Linked DNA regions of Arabidopsis thaliana. The protein of the gene in region 1 interacts with the protein of each later gene in a pairwise test. Each region holds a gene or a part of one and is shown on either strand. Other genes may lie near its edges. The genes, in order: JAZ3, NAC069, AT1G01260 and TIFY8.

Evidence for each region.
Region 2: the proteins of JAZ3 (region 1) and NAC069 interact in binary tests that used the Arabidopsis thaliana proteins (3 or more experiments, as listed by UniProt).
Region 3: the proteins of JAZ3 (region 1) and AT1G01260 interact in binary tests that used the Arabidopsis thaliana proteins (3 or more experiments, as listed by UniProt).
Region 4: the proteins of JAZ3 (region 1) and TIFY8 interact in binary tests that used the Arabidopsis thaliana proteins (3 or more experiments, as listed by UniProt).

The regions. Positions count from the first base shown.
Region 1 is NC_003074.8:6,118,005-6,123,562, forward strand, and holds JAZ3 (jasmonate-zim-domain protein 3), read left to right. Parts: upstream 1-1,702; 5' UTR 1,703-1,963; coding exon 1,964-2,048; exon of another isoform or gene 2,049-3,078; coding exon of another isoform or gene 3,079-3,124; coding exon 3,125-3,324; intron 3,325-3,584; coding exon 3,585-3,799; intron 3,800-3,874; coding exon 3,875-3,965; intron 3,966-4,046; coding exon 4,047-4,350; intron 4,351-4,447; coding exon 4,448-4,508; intron 4,509-4,584; coding exon 4,585-4,687; 3' UTR 4,688-5,040; downstream 5,041-5,558. Other genes in the region: TDX (tetraticopeptide domain-containing thioredoxin), read left to right, coding at 5,530-5,558. UniProt on the Arabidopsis thaliana protein: Repressor of jasmonate responses. Jasmonoyl-isoleucine (JA-Ile) specifically promotes COI1-TIFY6B/JAZ3 interaction. Acts as a negative regulator of MYC2 function. Feed-back regulated by MYC2.
Region 2 is NC_003075.7:673,316-678,271, forward strand, and holds NAC069 (NAC domain containing protein 69), read right to left. Parts: upstream 3,131-4,956; 5' UTR 2,911-3,130; coding exon 2,757-2,910; exon of another isoform or gene 2,677-2,756; coding exon 2,405-2,676; intron 1,899-2,404; coding exon 1,758-1,898; intron 1,684-1,757; coding exon 1,312-1,683; intron 1,232-1,311; coding exon 1,046-1,231; intron 959-1,045; coding exon 710-958; 3' UTR 547-709; downstream 1-546. Other genes in the region: MEE49 (Ribosomal RNA processing Brix domain protein), read right to left, coding at 3,951-3,989, 4,098-4,187, 4,263-4,332, 4,421-4,519, 4,601-4,680, 4,761-4,843, 4,923-4,956. UniProt on the Arabidopsis thaliana protein: Transcription activator activated by proteolytic cleavage through regulated intramembrane proteolysis (RIP). Involved in salt stress response during seed germination and seedling growth.
Region 3 is NC_003070.9:107,249-112,214, forward strand, and holds AT1G01260 (basic helix-loop-helix (bHLH) DNA-binding superfamily protein), read left to right. Parts: upstream 1-1,697; 5' UTR 1,698-2,082; exon of another isoform or gene 2,083-2,157; 5' UTR 2,158-2,346; coding exon 2,347-4,119; 3' UTR 4,120-4,451; downstream 4,452-4,966.
Region 4 is NC_003075.7:15,715,731-15,720,793, reverse strand, and holds TIFY8 (TIFY domain protein 8), read left to right. Parts: upstream 1-1,926; 5' UTR 1,927-2,091; coding exon 2,092-2,338; intron 2,339-3,031; coding exon 3,032-3,201; intron 3,202-3,293; coding exon 3,294-3,550; intron 3,551-3,628; coding exon 3,629-3,725; intron 3,726-3,837; coding exon 3,838-4,063; coding exon of another isoform or gene 4,064-4,128; intron 4,129-4,134; exon of another isoform or gene 4,135-4,272; coding exon 4,273-4,361; 3' UTR 4,362-4,562; downstream 4,563-5,063. Other genes in the region: AT4G32580 (Thioredoxin superfamily protein), read left to right, coding at 259-429, 504-578, 680-916; AT4G32560 (paramyosin-like protein), read right to left, coding at 4,759-4,821, 4,906-5,028. UniProt on the Arabidopsis thaliana protein: Repressor of jasmonate responses.

The DNA.
Region 1 (5,558 bases):
CACCAAACTCAAAAAAAAGAGAGCCAAATATTGCAACTACTCAAGTCAGTCTAAATATAGTTAAATGCTGCGCTATATATCATGCATATACATATGTCATTTGATTTTCTCTTTGCCATTATTTACTCTCATTCGATTTTAATACAAAATTATTTAAGTTGTTGTTGTAAACAGACGTTGCTGTTGCTGTTGAGTTTGATTTAGAATAGTTAAGTTTGGTTTTGGTTGGAGAAAAGTTTTCGTTGTTAAGCCAACTCGTGATCATTTAATCTGTTCTTTTTTTGGTAGGGGGTGATCATTGAATCTTTTGTTTTGAGTTTTGTATGTCTATATAGAGTCTAATACCATTAAAACAAAAAAAATGTCGTGGTAACCAGAATTAAATGATGTAAAAACAGAAAACAAGAATTAAATGTCGGATGTAAAAACAGAATTAAATTTCGGATGTTTTATGTGGATCATAGCGTGAGAGATGCGTTTATGGCATCTTTTGATATAATCTTCGCTTTGTAGGTCCACTTTTGATCTGATCTGATCTATTATCTATATGGAATGTTGTGTATATAATAAACTGCAGTGTAGTATTTTCTTAATAATGTGATATTAATATCTAAATTCTAGGCTGGAGAAAATGACGTGTGCTGCATATCCCCCAGACTCGAAATAACGATGTTATCGTGGGAGATGATCGTCAATTTTTTTTTTGTTTAGAGATCGTCAAGTTGTTGTGATCATTGACTCCTTTCCATTTTTTCTATAGATTTGAATTTTAAATATTCATTTTCATAAAAAAATGAAAACTTTATTATTATATTTGTGAGATAATTAGATATGTTTTAAAACATTAGTAAATTTAGTATAGTATTAGTTTTTACTAAATTAAGAAGAAAGTGACGCACGAAATGGCGTAATTTCCTCCCCCGGACCACATGCATCTTATAAATACACAAAAACGATGTCAACGAGTGATTTTAGTAATATGTACATTAAAGTAATATTTTCTTTTTGGTACCAATAATTACCTTAATTAATACAAGTATAGTTTAAGCAACAAGCAACATTCTTTAATAATTCGCGAAAAATATTAATAAAAGTACAATGACAGAAAAAATAATTAAAAATTGGATTAAAAAAAATAATATTAGAGTGATGACATAATCACATGAGGATTTAGATTTAGCTTAATAATGTTTAGTTGTGGAACTAAATTTCCGCAACAATTATTTTGTTGTATTTAAATCATTTTATGAAAGTCTAATCTTTACAATTACTTTATAGTACCATCCGATTAATCAAAGATTAAAAATATAGTACTAAAATACAAATTAATATATTTTGCCAAAAAAATGCAACGTGCAAATGTTTATCTTGGTCAAGAGAACGTGCACGAAAGTAGTGTAACTAATTTTACTATTTTAGATTGAGCGGTGAGACAAAAAGGGGGTTAGACTCACGCGCTACACTTAGCGCGTCAGCCGACAAAAAAAAGTGTTGTCATTGAATAAAAAAATAAATTAAAACTGCCGCTTCGCATCTCGTGAATCATTCACGTTAAAATAGCGCACGTGCCTCGCCACGCGTCTCACCACAAAAAGAAACGCCACACACTGCACGACGATGCACGTGCCTTTTTAACCGACTATATCCGGTGACGTAACCGGGACAACCTGTAGCTGGTTTTTGCGCCAATAGGATATGAGAAAAAAGAATCTTTTTTTTCTTGTTATAGTTATAAATTAATGGTACGATTCACATGTCGCATGCGATTTGTTAATAAAACTAGAAATTGCGGTGAATTAACTTCATTCCACGTTTTTTCATTTTCTCCCTCAAAAGTCTCTGTTTTTTTTCCTTTTTCCGGCGAAGCTCTATTTAGCTTGATTCCGGCGTTTAACACGCGTTTTAATCGAAACAGACATTTGAGATCGAATTAATTTTGTAGCGGGCTGTGTCTTTATTATAGATGGAGAGAGATTTTCTCGGGTTGGGTTCGAAAAATTCTCCGATCACTGTCAAGGAGGAAACCAGCGAAAGCTCTAGAGATTCAGGTTATTTATTACTCTTCTCAATTTTTCTGATTCTGATTGTTTTTAAATCGTAGATTTGTTTGATTGATTAGGAGTTATTAGGACTACTTGTAGTATGGAATTTGTTTTTGGATAGCTGATTTTATGGCTTGCTCGGGAACTGGAATTGTCAGTTTGTTGCTTGGAGCAGAACATTGTCCTTTGCTTTTCTCGGGAGATGTAGAATTTGGATTTGGAAAAACTAGTGTTCTTTTCCAAAGCCTTGTCTTAAACATGCTTTCGGTCGGAGAAATTAACGAGAACTAATCTCAAGCTTCTAACATAATTAAACTCGGTAAACTTTTTTTTACTAGAGTAAATTTTTTTGTTTTGTTTGAAGAGTCTTATAATTGAGAAATACTTTATTAGTTTATACTAAAAAAAAAACGAATACGTAAAATGTTGGAAAAGAGGGGATGTATAGAGACTGATACAAAAATGATAAAATAGAGACGGTTGGTAGTAGGTAGAAAGATTAAATATACTCAAAAGAGTGAGTTGGATTAGTTTATAAGATGATTAACTTCTTGATTGTGTGAGTTGGATTAGTTTATGAGATTATTAAAATATTGATTGTGTATTTGTGTTGTGTGTTGATTAAGCGGAACTTGCGTTAGAATATTGTTCAAGGTACAATGTGGAAATAATAGTTTTCTCACCACGAGGAATATAATTATTTCAACTTTGTTTTCTTATCAGCCAAAACGTGCCACACCATAAAAGTAGTGCATCAACATGTGGTGTGGTGTGGTGGGGTTAAAGTTTGAATCTCTCTTTAATTTAAACTATTAAAACAAACTTAAATTATTGGAGTTTCGTACAATGACTTTCAATCAAATGTTTTAGAATTAGACACGGTTTTCGAAAGTGGTTTTCCCTCGTTGAATTTGTCAACAGTATCAGATTCTACATTGTTGGTTACTAATCTTTTCCTTGAAGTAGGTGTTGAATTAATCCTCTGTTGTTTATGTAAGGAGATCTCGAGACATTTATGGTTAACAGTTAACACTACATGTTTGACTTTAAACTGATTATCTTTTATTCTTTTTCTTTTGTAGCTCCCAACAGAGGAATGAACTGGTCTTTCTCAAACAAAGTATCAGCTTCTTCTTCTCAGTTTCTATCCTTCAGGCCAACTCAAGAAGATAGACATAGAAAGTCTGGAAATTATCATCTTCCTCACTCTGGTTCCTTCATGCCATCATCAGTAGCTGATGTTTATGATTCAACCCGCAAAGCTCCTTACAGTTCTGTACAGGTATTTGTCATCAAAACCTATGTTAACCAAGACCCTTGTGTTTTTTTTATCCTTCGCAAGATAGCTTTAAAAGTGAGCCCTGTTTTATGAGCATATAGTAATTGGTTTTGAGTCTAGTTTAGCACAAGTTCATGGCAATTAGTTTGTGGATCTAATCTTGGTTTAATACTGATTCATTTTAAGTGTAAGCTAAGCTTCTCATTTTTGATAAGTTAGTTCATACAATGCCTCACACCTACTTTATGGCTTGTTACTCTCAGGGAGTGAGGATGTTCCCTAATTCCAATCAACACGAAGAAACTAACGCAGTTTCCATGTCGATGCCGGGTTTCCAGTCTCATCATTATGCACCAGGAGGAAGAAGCTTCATGAACAATAACAATAACTCACAACCTTTGGTAGGAGTTCCTATCATGGCACCTCCAATTTCAATCCTTCCTCCTCCAGGTTCCATTGTAGGGACTACTGATATTAGGTACCCACTAGTCATCATATCATACAGAAACTCTTTCTACATTTTCATAGTTGACTAAAGACTTATTTTTGTCAGATCTTCTTCCAAGCCAATAGGTTCACCTGCGCAGTTGACGATCTTTTATGCCGGTTCAGTTTGTGTTTACGATGACATATCTCCTGAAAAGGTATCTCAATCATTTTCTTCCATATATGCATCTCTTTTACTCGTAAGGTATGGTACTCATTTGCTTTCTTTCATTTCTCAGGCAAAGGCGATAATGTTGCTAGCTGGGAACGGTTCCTCTATGCCTCAAGTCTTTTCGCCGCCTCAAACTCATCAACAAGTGGTCCATCATACTCGTGCCTCTGTCGATTCTTCAGCTATGCCTCCTAGCTTCATGCCTACAATATCTTATCTTAGCCCTGAAGCTGGAAGTAGCACAAACGGACTCGGAGCCACAAAAGCGACAAGAGGCTTGACGTCAACATATCACAACAACCAAGCTAATGGATCCAATATTAACTGCCCAGTACCAGTTTCTTGTTCTACCAATGTAATGGCTCCAACAGGTAAAAAACAAAGTCAGAGACCTGATACTACATTCGCCATCTAACTTACTAGTATTTTCATGGATGTAACTTCATTCTCGTTCTGTTTCTTATGCAGTGGCATTACCTCTGGCTCGCAAAGCATCCCTGGCTAGGTTTTTAGAGAAACGCAAAGAAAGGTACGCAACACTTCTTTAGAATACACCATTCAATAGTTTCTTGGGCTAACTCTCTTTCTCGCTGTGGGTTTCTCAGGGTCACGAGCGTATCCCCATATTGCTTAGACAAGAAGTCATCGACAGATTGTCGCAGATCAATGTCTGAATGCATTAGTTCTTCTCTCAGCTCTGCAACCTAATTTCATCTACAGTAAGAAGGTTGCTTTAGACCACTCCACATCCATATTTGCATTTCAATGGCGGTCTTTTCAATGTCTCAGTTAATTTTTCCTCACTCGCCACACTGAGTTTCTCCTTAGCTTTATATATACGATAGTGTATACTTTGTTTACATGTTTTTTGGTGGAATGGAACTTATGAGAGCATATCAGATATGTACTTGGGAAAATTAGTAGAAACTGTTTGTTTCTTTTTTTTTAACTCTGTTCTTTTGTATATATCACTGAAGCTCGCATATGTATAATTCATGTAATGGAATTGCATCGCTTCTGTTTCCCTAAGTTATTTCTCTAATCAATTTTCTATTCAAATATGGGGATTTTTTTAATAGGATTTGCTAATTTGTACTCTGGTTAACAATAAGCTTGATACATTACCAGTTACCAACTCGAATTCACAAAAGAAGTCATCATTATATATGGAGAAAATGGAACATCTTTTAGAATTTGCTTTAATTCGTTTTGGCTAATTATTTTTCGGTCTTCGTTTTGGCTGTGAGTTTCTTTGTAACATCCTAATTTCAATATGTGGGCCATTTTGTGTTGTAGCCCATCAAGGCCCAATGTCTTATTGCACAACGAAAAGGGATGTTGCAAAAGATGATAAACCGGATATGAATTCAGTCGCGGTTAAGTTAACGCGAAGACAAAACCGGTTGGACATGTTCGGTTTTCGGCGATGATTATTTCAACGTTTTTCAGTCTAATCAAAACCAATACGAGCAGACACAGCTCCGTACGATCACAAGGATTCACTGATTTCTAAGCTTTTCATAGAAAGAAGAAGAAAAAGGCGGAATTCGATGGTGGATGCGATTCAAGTAGCTGAGCT
Region 2 (4,956 bases), on another chromosome or scaffold:
CAAAATTTATTTTTATTGTGAATGAGAATGAAGACGTGGCAAATTATTGACGGTTCATTGTCGGAGCTTCGAACGAAAGTATGAACCTTTCTCTTTTCCTTGTTTTTTTTGTGTATTTTGAGTCGAAGGATCTTTCGGAAATTATAGCCGCCACCATCGACGACGACGACATGGCGTTATTACTTTCTCTACTTCAATATAGTACTACTACTAATTTTGTAAAATATATGTCTATGGATTTGGCTTGCAAGATAAGGGATTAAAGTTTACAAAAAACAAGAAAAAGGTTCATAGAATCATATTACATAGTTGTAAGTAATATGATTGATTGATTGATTGATCATCGAAGTAATATTTGATTGATTGATCATCGAAGTATCAATCACATTAGACCAGTCCCTTGTCCGGTATGTAATCATTCTCTTAATTATCAACAAACCAAATCTTTGAGAAACCTTTCAAACCATTCACTGGTCTCTGTCGAATGTTTTCTTTATCAGCAGTCTAATGCTCCACCACGGCACTGAACTATGGACCCGCTCTAAATGTTATAAAATTTTCAAACCCTAAATTTTATTTAACTTTAGGTACAAGACATACCTCTTGGTCATACATACACACACATATATACATCAAAATTTCGGAAGAAAATAGAAATAAATAAAAGCAAAGTAAAAACGAGTGCTTTGATCAATCTGCTAGCTTTTGTCTATCTCTCGCGATCAAACTTCATCGCCGGGTTCAAGTTTTGTAACACCGATATGATGTTGCTAATGAGAGCCAGCAAGAGAATGAAGCCTATGATCATTCTCATGAGATAGATATACCGTGGATTGTTGCGGTTTCTCTCCATTGCTTCCTCTGTAATAAACCAGCTCTTCTTCTCTGTCTTCACCATAGATGACTCCTTGTCTATGGATGTATCACTATCAACCGCTCTTGATGTATCTTGTTTCACCTGTGAAGGAAAGTTACATAATCATTATCTTTATATATCCAACATATGTTGAAATCATATAGAATCAACATAAGAGCAACGCAAAACCTCTTGTTTTGGTCGTATGATGCTTCGTGTGAGTTGAGATTGCCGGGTGCTACTACTGATGGAAGGTTCTCCATAGGTTTGTAGATCATTGCAAGACGATAGAATCTCATCTCCACCAGTCTGGAGAAATTGTCTATTCGAACTACCAACACTATCATCACCTGGACTTGATGTTCCTTGGTAACTCTGACATAATATAATCAAAATGTGAGAATGGAGATTACAGCACAGAAGTAACGATAAAGAAAACGGGTGATTTGCTTTACCGTTGCAGATATCGATTCAGCATCACTATTACTATCACTGCTATAATCAACAATAATCCCTGACAAAGCCTTCTTTGGCCTGTGATCGTTGCGGTTCTCGGTCATAGATAAGGTTGGTCTGGATATGAAATCTTCATTGGCAAACAAATATTCAACCTGCTCTCGGTTAACATGCCTCAATCCACCGAGAAACTCATCATCATTCGGGGTTAAGTGAGGAGCTTGTGGATGCACAGTAGGATTGTTATTGTCACTGAATAACATGTCTGGATCCAGTACATCCCACAAAGAGAAATCTTCTTGTTCATTCTTTGGAGTCCCCAAATCATCCACAGACATACCAAAGAAATTTTCTTGACCTGGCTTCTCAAACTGAAAATGTAAAAGAGAGTTTTGAGTAAACGAATCAAGTACATGAGATTATCAAATAAAGAAACTGGAGTCACCTCAAGCGCTGTGGGACTCGTAGCTCTGACAGTATTCGAATCAGAGACCAAAGATTGACTCGGCTCACTCGAGTTGTTACCACCAGATGGGACGTCTCCATCTTCACCCTTATACATCACTTGGCAGATAACATAGTTCCTCTGAACAAATTCCAAAAGTACACACACACATAAGTTCTTTGCCAACAAAACAAAAAATCAAACACACATAACTCAAACAATCACAAGCTTTGGCAGAAGTAAGAACACTAGGTTACAACTTCTATACATAGCGCTTAAAACTCTGTGACAACACAGAACGTACTAATGATAGCAACCAACACAGGGGAGATTACAGTAATATATTCAACACAGGGAAGCAAATACACTAGCCTTCTAGGCCACAACTTCTATATATAACACTTCAAACTCTGATACACAGAACCTAAACTTGATGTACTAAGCATCATAGGGAAAAGATAAGTCAAACCCAAATCTATTCTTACAAGAACATGACTTTAACCTCAAATTGGGATAAAGATAGCAACCAACACAGGGACAGATGAATCAAACCCAAATCCAATTCAAGAAGATCAACTAACAGAAACATAACGCTAAGTCAAACTAACACAGAAGCTCAAATTCAAGAAACTCTGAGTTTATTATACCTGATCTTGAGGCAAACAAGTGATGTGATACTCATGCATAACCCAAGGAGTCCAAACACCTTTAGGAACTCTACCTTCATAATACACAAGCGTCTTCTTTATCCCAATCTCGCCGCGATTACCTCTCTTATCTTTGATTTTCCTATCAACACCAGTAGCTTTCCAATACCCTGAACTTGTAGTCCTCTTCGTTACCTTCTTCTTCGCAGAAGTATACTCCTTTGGACAGAAGAAGTACCACACAGGATCATCCGATTTTATCTTCGATAAAGCTACAACAACCAAACAAATCCAGAATTAGAAATGACCGATGATGAGACAACGATGATGATTTTGAAGTGAGGAAACTTACAAGGCAAGTAAATTGGGTCGTAACTACAGATGTTGATCTCGCTAATGGCTTCGTCGACGAGCCAAGTCTTACCCAAAATTTTGTTCTTTAGATAATGGTTTATCAATTCCTCTCCCGTTGGATAAAATCTATACCCAACCAGATCTTTCACCATTTTTTTTACACAGAAACAGATCAAATAACAAAACTTTTTGAATCGACACTGAAAATTTTTTAGTGTTTGAGTTTTAAGGGCTTTTTCTCACTTCTCTGTTTCTTTCTTTTTTCCTCTATCTATTATTGTTTTTTCTGAAAGACGAACAGTACTAATACAGTTGGGGTGAAGAAGAACCATAAAAAAAGAAAGAAAGATATTTGTGGCGGAATGCAGTAAAAGTATATTAATGTTTTTCCCCTAAACGTTGACAAATGAGAGGGACAAAAAAATATTTTAATTGTGTATGAAGTAACACGTGGCAGTAAGAAAAATTGTTTGAACTTCGAACCGAAGTTTCAGTTTTTTTTTTTCCTTTCCGAAGGATCTTTCTGGAATATTATAGCCGACATAATTGACAACATAGTAACATACATATACGTAATTACGTTCTATACTACACCTAAATAATCGTAATTAATTTTTAGATTTGTTTTTGTCAATCCTATTACATTATCATTAGAGATGTTCAGGATTTGAATGCTTACGGCGGTAAAAACGGTCTATAATTGATCCGCGACGATTTTCTTTTATTTTTCTTAATCTATAATCTTACATACTCTAATTTATAAATGGTAAATCAAAAACGGTCTAATTCGCAAACGGATTTATCCGTCTCAACCACCGTAACCATTCACATCCTCAAATCTAATCCTATTATTATGGTGATGAACTGATGATCGTAAAACTATTAATTATGCAACATAAAGGTCCACTTAACTACTAAACAAAATCCAATATTACTGCTGTAGATTCAAATGCTCGATGTCGATATATACCAAACCAAACAATCATAAGTTTAACCAACTATATATAGCTTAGTAAAAAACGAGGGCCTATATTGTTGAAACAAGTACTCTTACGATTGTTTCGATGGCTCATGGCTATATTGAAAAAAGAAATGAGAAGTTTTAAAGACATACAATTTTGGACGGAGGTAGGGAAAATTCGAAAATGCAAAATAAACACAAAACTTGGTGAAACTCGGAAGACAGCAGAATTTATAAGAAGAACCTTCTCCTGCTCGTGTCCATTTCAGGCTGTAATGAAATACAAAAAAAAAACACATCAGAAAATAAAATTAAAAATCATCAAAAACTCTAAAGAACAGCAATGAAGCTGCTCGTGTCCATTTCTGGTGATTTTACCTTATGAACCCATTCAAATTCTCCACCTTTGGTGTCAAAAGTTCCATGCTGTAGAGTAACTAGCTTAAGCGTGAATCGAGGACCGCATTCCTAAAAATCCAAAGTTTAATGATACAAACATTGATAATGTTGATTACTTTTTGATTCAACATGGTCAAAACTGACCTGAAGACGAGGTTTTATTGTCTCTTCTTTTCCTTTATCACTCTTGCTTTCCTTTGTCTCAAATATGTAACTGGATAGTGTTGAAATTTGTTCAATAAAAAGTTTTATTGGAGAATGGAGCAAAAGCAACTCGAAGAAGAAAAGGTGAAGTTATGTACCGGTGATGTCTGAAAAATATAAAGTCACGCTGGTTGTGGAATGTTACAACTCTCCTACCACGGAAATTAGGATCCGGAGGGAAGAGTGATTGAAAAAATCTGAAAAAAGGAAAAATCTAACATCAGCAAGAAATTCAAAGAGACCATAAAACCAAGTCAACAACACTATGAAAACTATACCTCCCAACACGATTCCCTAAACGCGTTGTAAAGTTATTCAAAACCAGTTCTGGTTGATGGCTTGTAGGATTTCCGTGATTCTGCAGTTACATTTAACATCCAATTCAGTGATCACTAATCTACACTCGATGTAGAGAAGAGTAATGGTTAGCTTACATACCTTAATATCCTTCCTTAGAACAAGATTTGACAATTTGAAATGAGCAGTAGGACCATTTGGCAAACCGATGATAAGAAGCGCATCTACATATGAAATAGCAAAAGCTTGAAACAAAGCATATACAGTAGAGAGCACAAAACTTGAAACTCAGTGAAAACTAACCAGGTTCTCTACGATTTGTATGAACAACAATAAG
Region 3 (4,966 bases), on another chromosome or scaffold:
CTTTTTTTTATAAGGTAACAAAATTAAGGAAAAACTATTGTTACAACTTCAACTTGCAAGTATGTTTCTGAAGCTAGAGTTTACAGTCACGTGTGAAAATCAAACCAATTTGGATCATTATTGAAGATAAATGAATACTTGATATATTGTTAGTACAAATTTAAACAAAGCGATAGGTTTAGTGGCATTCAGAATAAGTTCACCAAGAACCGGCACTACTTTATCCGGGATTAAATCAACTCTTACAATAGAGTTAACTGGACTAATAGGCCGATTTGTTGTGGTAAAACAAAACCAATGAAATATATGATAAGATTGAGATTTAAGAATTCAAGACTGAGTCCGTTGAACAGCCCATTCTAATTCTGATTGCTAGATAAGGGATAGATGGGGGGCATTATTAAGGTTTGGGAAAAAGGCTGATATCACGTTTGACCTAGCACATATGTGGCCCAACATTACAAGAATTCCATAGAAAACCAGTATTGTAATATCGGCCCATATTATATTCTTGACGACTTGGAGATATTGTAAGTCGACGTCGTTGTTTGACTTAGATGGGAATGGGACCCAAACGTCTCGAATAAAGGATAGTTTAAACACGTGAATCACGCGGTCCCCACTTTTTGCTGTGTGTTTCTCACCGCCATACATATATTATACCCACTCGTGACTTCATTTTCCATAATTACTATATATACTAATTTTTTGTTTTAACTTTATCGTTTGTTAAAGATTTTTCCAAAATAATATAGTCATTGTATATTCATTTTCGCAGAGCCGTAGTTTATATTTTGATGATAATTTTATGACTTAAAGAGTGAAAGCTATAAATATATTACAATTCAATTGTGGTTGCGAGAGAATAAACAAAAAGAGAAAGAGAAAAAAAAAACGTTACAGAAGAGAAAGTGCAGAGCTGTGCAGGCGCATTTGAAAATGAAATTAAAAAGAAAAAGAGATCCAAAGAAAATTAAATGCATCTCACGTTCTTCTCATTCTGGTCATCTCTCCTAAATCCACGTGAACTTCACGTGCTTTTCACGCCCTCCTCTCTATCGACTTGGCGTTTCCTTTCTTCTAAAGGAGTTGAATTGTTTTGTCAACATTTATCAAGTTATTTAGTAATTTGTTTTTTTGTTTTGTTTTTAAAAAAATTATTTACTCCCGTTGTAGAACCACCATCAATAATATTACCAAAAATAATAATCAAGGATCTAAACTAAAATAAGCCTTTTATTTTGTATAATTCTGAAAGCATTTGAAACTTAAGGAACAACTCTTTAGTCTTTGCAACAAAACAAAACACAACAAAAACCGAATATTTAAGCCTAACTTGAATGTGAATTGATTTGGTCAAAATTCCCGGTGCTTGACCACCGGTCTTAGTTGGCATACTTTGCAATTATGTAAACAAAAATTTTAAAAATTGAAAGCAAACTTCTAAATTTGGGTTTGGTTTCCCCTTTAGTTATTTCCATGAACATGAGAATCTAATCTCGAGTTGTCAGATAGTATTTGTTTAGATCTACACCAGTTGAGATAGATCTGTTGCAAATTTTTAATTAATCAAAACCCATAATTGAAAATTATGTCAATCAATTATTGACAAAAACCATGACATAATCTAAGGGGTTTTCAATCGTCGTGTATCAAAGACTCGAGACAAAGACTAAATCGAACCAGACCCGGTTTAAGTTTCTAAACTCAATTGTGTAGTTAAGTAGCTAACCATGGTTCAGATGAAAGTCTTTTTGTTTTGTTTTTTGTTTTGTTTGTTGGGGTTTGGTCTTTTAATAAAAAAGAGCACGAAGAACATGCGTCGGACTCTCTCTCTTCCTTGAATTCATTCAATTGGCCACGGCGACAAAACAGGGAGCCGATACAGCGAAACTGATACATCTTTTTTTATTTTCTGGATTCTTAGGGTTCTTTTTCGGGGAATTTAGGTAATTTGTTTGTCCATTTTGGTGGGGTTTGGGAGATTTAAAATTTGTGTTTTTTTTTGGGTCGGATTCTCAAAAATCTGATTTTGAGGAGAAAATCTCGGTGGAAGAGACTTGATTCAAATCTTCTTTACTGGTAAAAATATATTCTTCTCAATTCCTCATTTTCTGTTGGTGGAGTTTGATTTTTGTCATTTAATTGTTGTTAAAGAAAATAGGGGCAAGATCTGAGATCTCTGGGTGTTCCATGCAAAACTGTTATACTCCGCCGTATATTTGCATCTGGGTCACACTTCTAAACCCTATCATTTGACTTAAGAATCGATTTCTGAAGATCTGGGTTTCTTAAAAGTCTTTCCTTTTTGTTGGGATCCAAACAACAAAAGAAAAGAAAGCAGAGATGAATATTGGTCGCCTAGTGTGGAACGAGGACGATAAAGCGATTGTTGCGTCATTACTGGGCAAACGAGCTCTCGATTACTTGCTTTCCAACTCTGTTTCCAATGCTAATCTCTTGATGACTCTAGGAAGCGACGAGAATCTGCAGAACAAGCTCTCGGATCTCGTCGAGAGACCCAACGCTTCTAATTTCTCTTGGAACTACGCCATTTTCTGGCAGATTTCCAGGTCAAAGGCCGGAGATTTGGTTCTCTGTTGGGGCGATGGATATTGCAGAGAGCCTAAAGAAGGAGAGAAATCAGAGATCGTTAGGATTCTAAGTATGGGAAGAGAAGAAGAAACGCATCAGACTATGAGAAAGAGAGTATTGCAAAAGCTTCATGATTTGTTTGGTGGCTCAGAAGAAGAGAACTGTGCTTTAGGACTAGATAGAGTTACTGACACTGAGATGTTTCTTCTTTCTTCTATGTATTTCTCATTCCCTCGAGGTGAAGGTGGTCCAGGCAAGTGTTTTGCCTCTGCTAAACCTGTTTGGTTATCCGATGTCGTCAATTCGGGTTCTGATTATTGCGTTAGATCGTTTCTTGCTAAATCTGCTGGCATTCAGACTGTTGTTTTGGTTCCTACTGATCTTGGTGTTGTTGAGTTAGGCTCAACTTCATGTTTGCCTGAAAGTGAAGACTCAATCTTGTCTATAAGATCATTGTTTACCAGTAGTTTGCCTCCGGTTAGAGCTGTTGCTTTACCTGTTACTGTAGCTGAAAAGATTGATGATAACAGAACGAAGATATTCGGCAAGGATTTGCACAATTCAGGGTTTCTTCAACATCATCAGCATCACCAACAACAACAACAACAACCACCGCAACAGCAACAGCATAGACAGTTTAGAGAGAAACTCACGGTTAGAAAAATGGATGATAGAGCTCCCAAGAGATTAGATGCTTATCCGAATAATGGGAACAGGTTTATGTTTTCGAACCCAGGCACCAACAACAACACTCTTCTGAGTCCTACTTGGGTTCAACCTGAGAACTACACGAGGCCAATCAACGTGAAGGAAGTTCCAAGCACGGATGAGTTCAAGTTTTTACCTTTGCAGCAATCATCGCAGAGGCTGCTTCCTCCTGCTCAAATGCAGATAGATTTCTCTGCTGCGAGTTCAAGGGCTTCAGAGAATAATTCAGATGGAGAAGGAGGAGGGGAATGGGCAGATGCAGTGGGTGCTGATGAATCTGGTAACAACAGACCAAGAAAACGCGGAAGGAGACCTGCCAACGGAAGAGCGGAAGCTTTGAACCATGTAGAAGCAGAGAGGCAGAGGCGTGAGAAGCTTAACCAGAGGTTTTACGCTCTGAGATCCGTTGTTCCCAACATATCCAAGATGGACAAAGCGTCCTTGTTGGGAGACGCGGTTTCTTATATAAACGAGCTTCACGCGAAGCTAAAGGTCATGGAAGCAGAGAGAGAGAGGTTAGGGTATAGCTCAAATCCACCTATCAGCTTGGATTCAGATATAAATGTTCAAACCTCAGGTGAAGATGTCACAGTGAGGATAAACTGTCCGTTGGAGTCTCATCCGGCTTCCAGAATCTTCCATGCGTTTGAAGAGAGTAAAGTAGAAGTGATAAACTCGAACCTGGAAGTTTCTCAGGACACAGTGTTGCATACGTTTGTAGTCAAATCTGAAGAATTAACGAAAGAGAAGCTGATATCGGCCTTGTCTAGAGAGCAAACAAATTCAGTTCAGTCAAGAACATCATCAGGTAGATAGCCTTTTGAGAGACAGAAGAAGGTGGAAGTAAGTTTGTAATCAAGAACCGGTTTTGAATGGTTCTTTTTTTCTTCTAGGTATCTTTTGTTTTTACCTTTTTTTGGTTATATACCTGTAAGAATCCTCCAAACTAGGATTTTAGAAGTTTTATTGACAAAAGTAGACATTATCATTTACTCGTTTTACAGTGGACAAAGCTGGGAATTAAGTAATTAACGATAATGTTGTATCTGTTAAAGTCGTAGACTAGCTCATGAATCAGTCTTTATTCATTCTGATATGTCCTATGTGTTGGATTTGGTGAAGTGTTTAATCGACAAGTCAGATAAGTGTTATGGATTGGTCACGGAATTGCTCAAGAACAACAAAACACAGCTGATTCATTGCTTGTGAACAAGAGGAAACACTATGATGTTCGTGCACACCATTTTTAGTGTTCAAACTAACATAAACCGTTATCGCCTGGGGAAAACAAAAGTTTTAAGAAGAGAAACAGGTGGAAAATGTAACAAAAATAAAAATAGGTTCCACCGAGACTTGAACTCGGGTTACTAGATTCAGAGTCTAGTGTCCTAACCGCTAGACCATGGAACCGCTTGATGTTTAGATTGCAGTAAATACGTTTTTAATATGTTTCTCTATTGTGAGTCAAAGGGTAATGCGATGTTTCTTTCTAGATTTCCTAAGCTAACTCAGTCCTAATAAACCGATTAAAAAGAACATGAACAAAGCATGCAGATCATAAAAGTGTCACACAAAGAGAGAGATACATGTTAGATTGTTTTTTTTTCTTCTCTTAAATGATAATTAATCGTTCTAACAAAAACTTAGCTACTAGTCTTCCATG
Region 4 (5,063 bases), on another chromosome or scaffold:
ACCCAGTAAAAGATAGTTTACTTGTCATGTGGTATATTTGACAGTTATCAAACTTTTGAGAGTTTGTGACACGTACGATACAGACACAAAATCAAATCTCCCTCTCCGACCATTTTTTTTTCTTAGTTACATAAATCTCTTTTCCTTCTCCAGCAACAGAAGAATTCTGCTCGATAATAGATTGGTAATCACAAAAAGAAAAGAAAAAGTGTTGGAGATCCTTCCGAGAGAGACGCGACATCTCCTTCCTCTTCGAAGATGAGTGGTACTGTGAAGGATATCGTTTCAAAGGAGGAGCTTGATAACTTGCGCCACAGCGGAGCACCACTCGTGCTTCACTTCTGGGCTTCTTGGTGTGACGCTTCGAAGCAGATGGATCAAGTTTTCTCTCATCTCGCTACTGATTTCCCTCGTGCTCACTTCTTTAGGGTTCGTCGTCTCTGTTCGAATTTTATCTCTTTCAATTGGTTTTTGACTTTGATTGGTTTTATTTATCTTCTTAGGTAGAAGCTGAGGAACATCCTGAGATATCTGAGGCTTATTCTGTTGCTCTTGTGCCGTATTTCGTCTTCTTCAAGGTAAACTTTAGGCATATTGATTCTTTGTTTGGTTGCAATTTTTTGGCTTATTGACAAAGCTTGAATCTTTGTCACTGCACTGAATCCTTTTCTTATTGAAGGATGGCAAAACTGTGGATACACTTGAAGGGGCAGATCCATCAAGTTTAGCTAATAAAGTTGGCAAAGTTGCTGGTTCTATTACTCCTGCAAGCTTAGGGTTGGCTGCAGGGCCAACGATTCTTGAAACTGTTAAGAAGAATGCGAAAGCTTCTGGACAAGACCGAGCTCAGCCTGTATCTACCGCTGATGCTCTCAAGAATCGTTTGGAAAAACTCACCCTGTTATGTTATTCATGAATGGTACTCCTGAAGAGCCTCGATTTTTAATATCTATTGAGTACTTTCTTTATAGTTGGAATTCTTGTGGATATATATCAGGTAGCTACTTGGAGCAAACATGTTGCTAAAGTTGACCTGCTACTGTTGTTTGAAGAACACGTGCTATGTCTTGTCGTTGAAGGAATTATGTTCATATGGGAAGAACATAAGCCTACTGGAAAGTTTACCCCTAGCTCTATTGTTAACCCAGATACTTGAGCCTCCATATCACAAACATCTAGTTAAGGTTTGTGTAGTAAGAACAAGAAAAACAACACGTGTTCCCAATTCCCATATAAATGACCATTATACTTCTATCAACCCAATTAATCACAGTCCGGAGACTAGTTGATTAAAAAATCAGCTAATACTAATTTGGTGGTTTCAATAAACATCTTAAATACTCCATAATTAAACTAGATTAAAGTGGGAAAAATCGTCATGAGTAGTTGTAAAATCGATTTCATTTAAGAGTATAGAAATTCGTCATGAGTGGTTGGTTCATGAGTTCTCTCTCTTACTCATATTAGAGTAAGAAATCAAACACTTATAATCATTCAAAATTCAACAACTCTCATCTCAAAACCATATATTTAGGTAAAGTTATATGCATACATTTTGCATTTTAATTTTAAAACAGATTATTTGGCGCGTAATGATAAAATTATGTGTATAAAAATTATTTAACTAATCGATCTAACAACCACATATGAGTAAAGTAGTTAACATTGTACTACTACACCAAATTATAGTGTGTTGGTTAGATTAGATACACAAACTCACTTTCTCAAATCAATAACATTATGAATCTATGATAACCTTAATTTAAAAAGAGTCTATAATGCCATGATTTTACAATCGTACTTTTTTCTTTTGGGCTGAACTTTTAATCATATATTATTTGAAAGATGTGATTATTATAATATTAAAGGGAATTAAAATCATGTAAGAGAAACCCAATAAAGTAGCTTGAAGAAGAAAAAGACAAGCTTTATTATACACTTACCCAGAAAAACAAAAAACAAAAAACTGATAATATCTCTCTCTCTCTCTCTCGTTGAGTGTGTCCATGAAATAATACTCTGCCAGAGACAGAGAGAAAGACTGTAACGGAGGATGTGGTGGCGAAGTGGCCACACTGACACACTGGTTTCATGATGGTGAACCACAACAATGGCCAGCGACCCACTGATATTGATTCTCGTCTCCGACAGACAGAACAAGATAAGCTCTTGTTCCATGACTTTTTAGGCTCCAAGAATCCTACTTTAGCATCCACTTCCATGGCTGACCATAGGCTACCACCGGATAATAAGGCGGCTAAAGCGGCGATGACTCCTTCCACGGCTTCTGCTTCCTCCGCCGGTGGACTCGGCGGTCTCTCCTCAACCTCCGATCTCGGTTCTGCTCTGTCTCTCTATCTCTCTCTCCTGATGTTTTTGTTGTTGTTGACGTAGTGTGCTTACGCTGATGAGGTTTTGAGCTGATTCCTCTGTACATTTAGGGTTTCTATCTATAGAAAGTTCAACTTTTGTTACATAGATTCGATTTAAAGTTGGATTCTTTCTTTTCCCCCTAGTCTGGATTAACGATCGAGCTTTGATTCACCATGATTTGAAAATGTAAGAGATCATGTGAGTTAGTTTCAAATTTTTTAGTCAATTCATTTATGATTAGATCTCTTAAGTTGAAAATGGAACATCTTTGGGTTCATAAGGTTGAACAAAATGTGAATGTACATTGTCTTGTTTCATTTCTTGCCTCATTGCTTTTTTAGTTCGACAATTTAAGAAACATGAACATGGATTGTGTGTGGGCATGTGGTTGCTTGACCTCTTGTAGTGTTAAGGACTCTCCCTCTCTCTCTCTCTCTCTCTCTCTCTCTGCCCAACCATAATGCCCTCTGGTGGATTAGTTGGGACATTGAGAGTGAATTTGACTGATGAGTTTGGTGGGTCATAGCCATTTGAGGTTGTGATCCTTTTTTATATGAATTGGCCCTTCTTTATTGCCTCTCGTTTTCTCTCTCTATCTCCTTGAGTTCCCTCCCACAACAATCTTTAAGTTACTTATCCATATTTTATCATTGTTTAGTCGAAAGACACAGCGGCGGTGGGAATCATCTTGATGGGATACAATTGTTTGGACCAAGAAGTGATGTTTCTGGCTCAATCATGAGCAATCGGTTTTCAGGAAATAAGAGAAGTAACTCTGATTCTCACTTCACGACTCAGGAGCACCCAGAGACTCTGCATTGGTCCAAGGTAACTAAAAAAAAAACAGAACCTACACAACTTCACCATGGTCACAGCTACGTAGAACTCAGTTTCTGTAATATGTCATTGTCATAACCTAGTTGCTTAGAAACGGACCTGGAAGCTTCTCCATGAATGTGAATCCTTTGGCAAACCAGCCTCCACGCGGAGGAGGACAGATCAGTCATTTGCTTCATCAGCTGTCTACTAGCAGGTTCAAAGATGAGAACGTAGGCCCATCAGTTATTGCTCAGACAGCTGCTGATGAAGGTTCACGAACAGGGATGAAAGGTCCCGGTATCTTGAGTTCTTTTACAATGCCAAACTCAAGCAAGCTCGAAAGTTTTGCCCCTTCAAAGTCAGTTAGCTTCTAGTGTTTTGTGTCTCTGGTCTTTCGATACTCTTCGAGTCATTTCAATACACTTTGTATTTGCAGTACCGGAAATCGGAAAGACTTGGCGTCGAGTACTAAGCAAATGACCATCTTCTATGGCGGTCAAGCTCATGTCTTTGATGACGTTCACCCAAACAAGGTGATTCTCCCTAACACTTATACACTTGATATTCAAGTTATTTGACTACATTTTGATATCTAAAAAGGTAGAGAATTGAGAAGTTCATCTGATGAATGTTATTTTTTTGCAGGCGGATGTGATAATGGCCTTGGCAGGATCAAGCGGAGGCTCATGGTCTACGGGTTTGTCTCATAAACCGAAGTCGAAGAACAACACAAGTGACGGTCCATACAAGCTAGGCCAAATGTATGAAGGAGGCAGCTCTAAGGAAACACCACAAATGCCCCCGGAATTTCGTGCAAGGCCGAGTCATCAACCTACCTCCAGTGCCTGTCACCGGATCTTTACACAACCAGGTGACTTCTTTTTAAAGAAAACCAGATTTCAGCAGAAATTTTGGTTAGCTTCTTACAAATACTGAGTGGAGTAGAGTAATCAGGTCTTATTTTGCATTGTGACATAATAAAATGAGGATACAACAGTAAAGAGTTATCAACTGTTCTGGGTTTTATCAACTTGAATCTGTTTGAGGAGCCATAAAACCATGTACATGTATGATTTGCAGGTAGAGAGCATCAAGGAAGCATCATCTCAAGGGGACGAGATATCAGAGATCCGGTTCACAGATCAGATCCTGAAAAAGAAGCCACATGATTAAAGTCTGAATATGAGAGACGATGAGTGTGGCTGTTCTTCTAAGTTGTTGTTTTTTTTGTTTTTTTTTTGTTTTTGGTCAACTTCTTCTAAGTTGTTATTTGTTGACTTGATAGCTTTGTACAATGCTCTGTACCTTTCTAGGTTTGTATTCAAACTCATCTCCTCAATGATTTAGAGAATAATATTTTCTCATAGCTCATATATAAACATATTGGTCAACCAAACCTACTATTTCTAGGCCTATCGATTTTCGTATATTTCCATGTAAGGCTGAGCATATGGATACATCACATCACAAGAGAATCATATCTAAATCAACTCTGGCTCTACTCTGGTTAGCTGTAACTCGAAAGGAGAGTCACTTCATATCACCTTATTCAAACCCTTCTTCGAGTCAGAGGTGTTCGTTCATGGCAGATATATGACTTCTCAGCCTCTCATTCTTAGTACATTCCTCCTGCCATTGAGAAATTTAGCACTACGTAAGTAGATGACTCTCGGGCTTTTCAGTATAAACACTTATTTCCTATCTTGTGCTAACCTGGTATGCTCTTAGTACAGTGTAGCATTTTCTTTGCTCTGCAGCTGCAGCTATATACTTTTCTTTTGAAGCATCACGGAGCCTCTGCTCTTCTTGAAGCCCAAGTTGTATTTTTCCAATCTTCTGCACTTTAAACATTTTGTTATGACAAATCATAC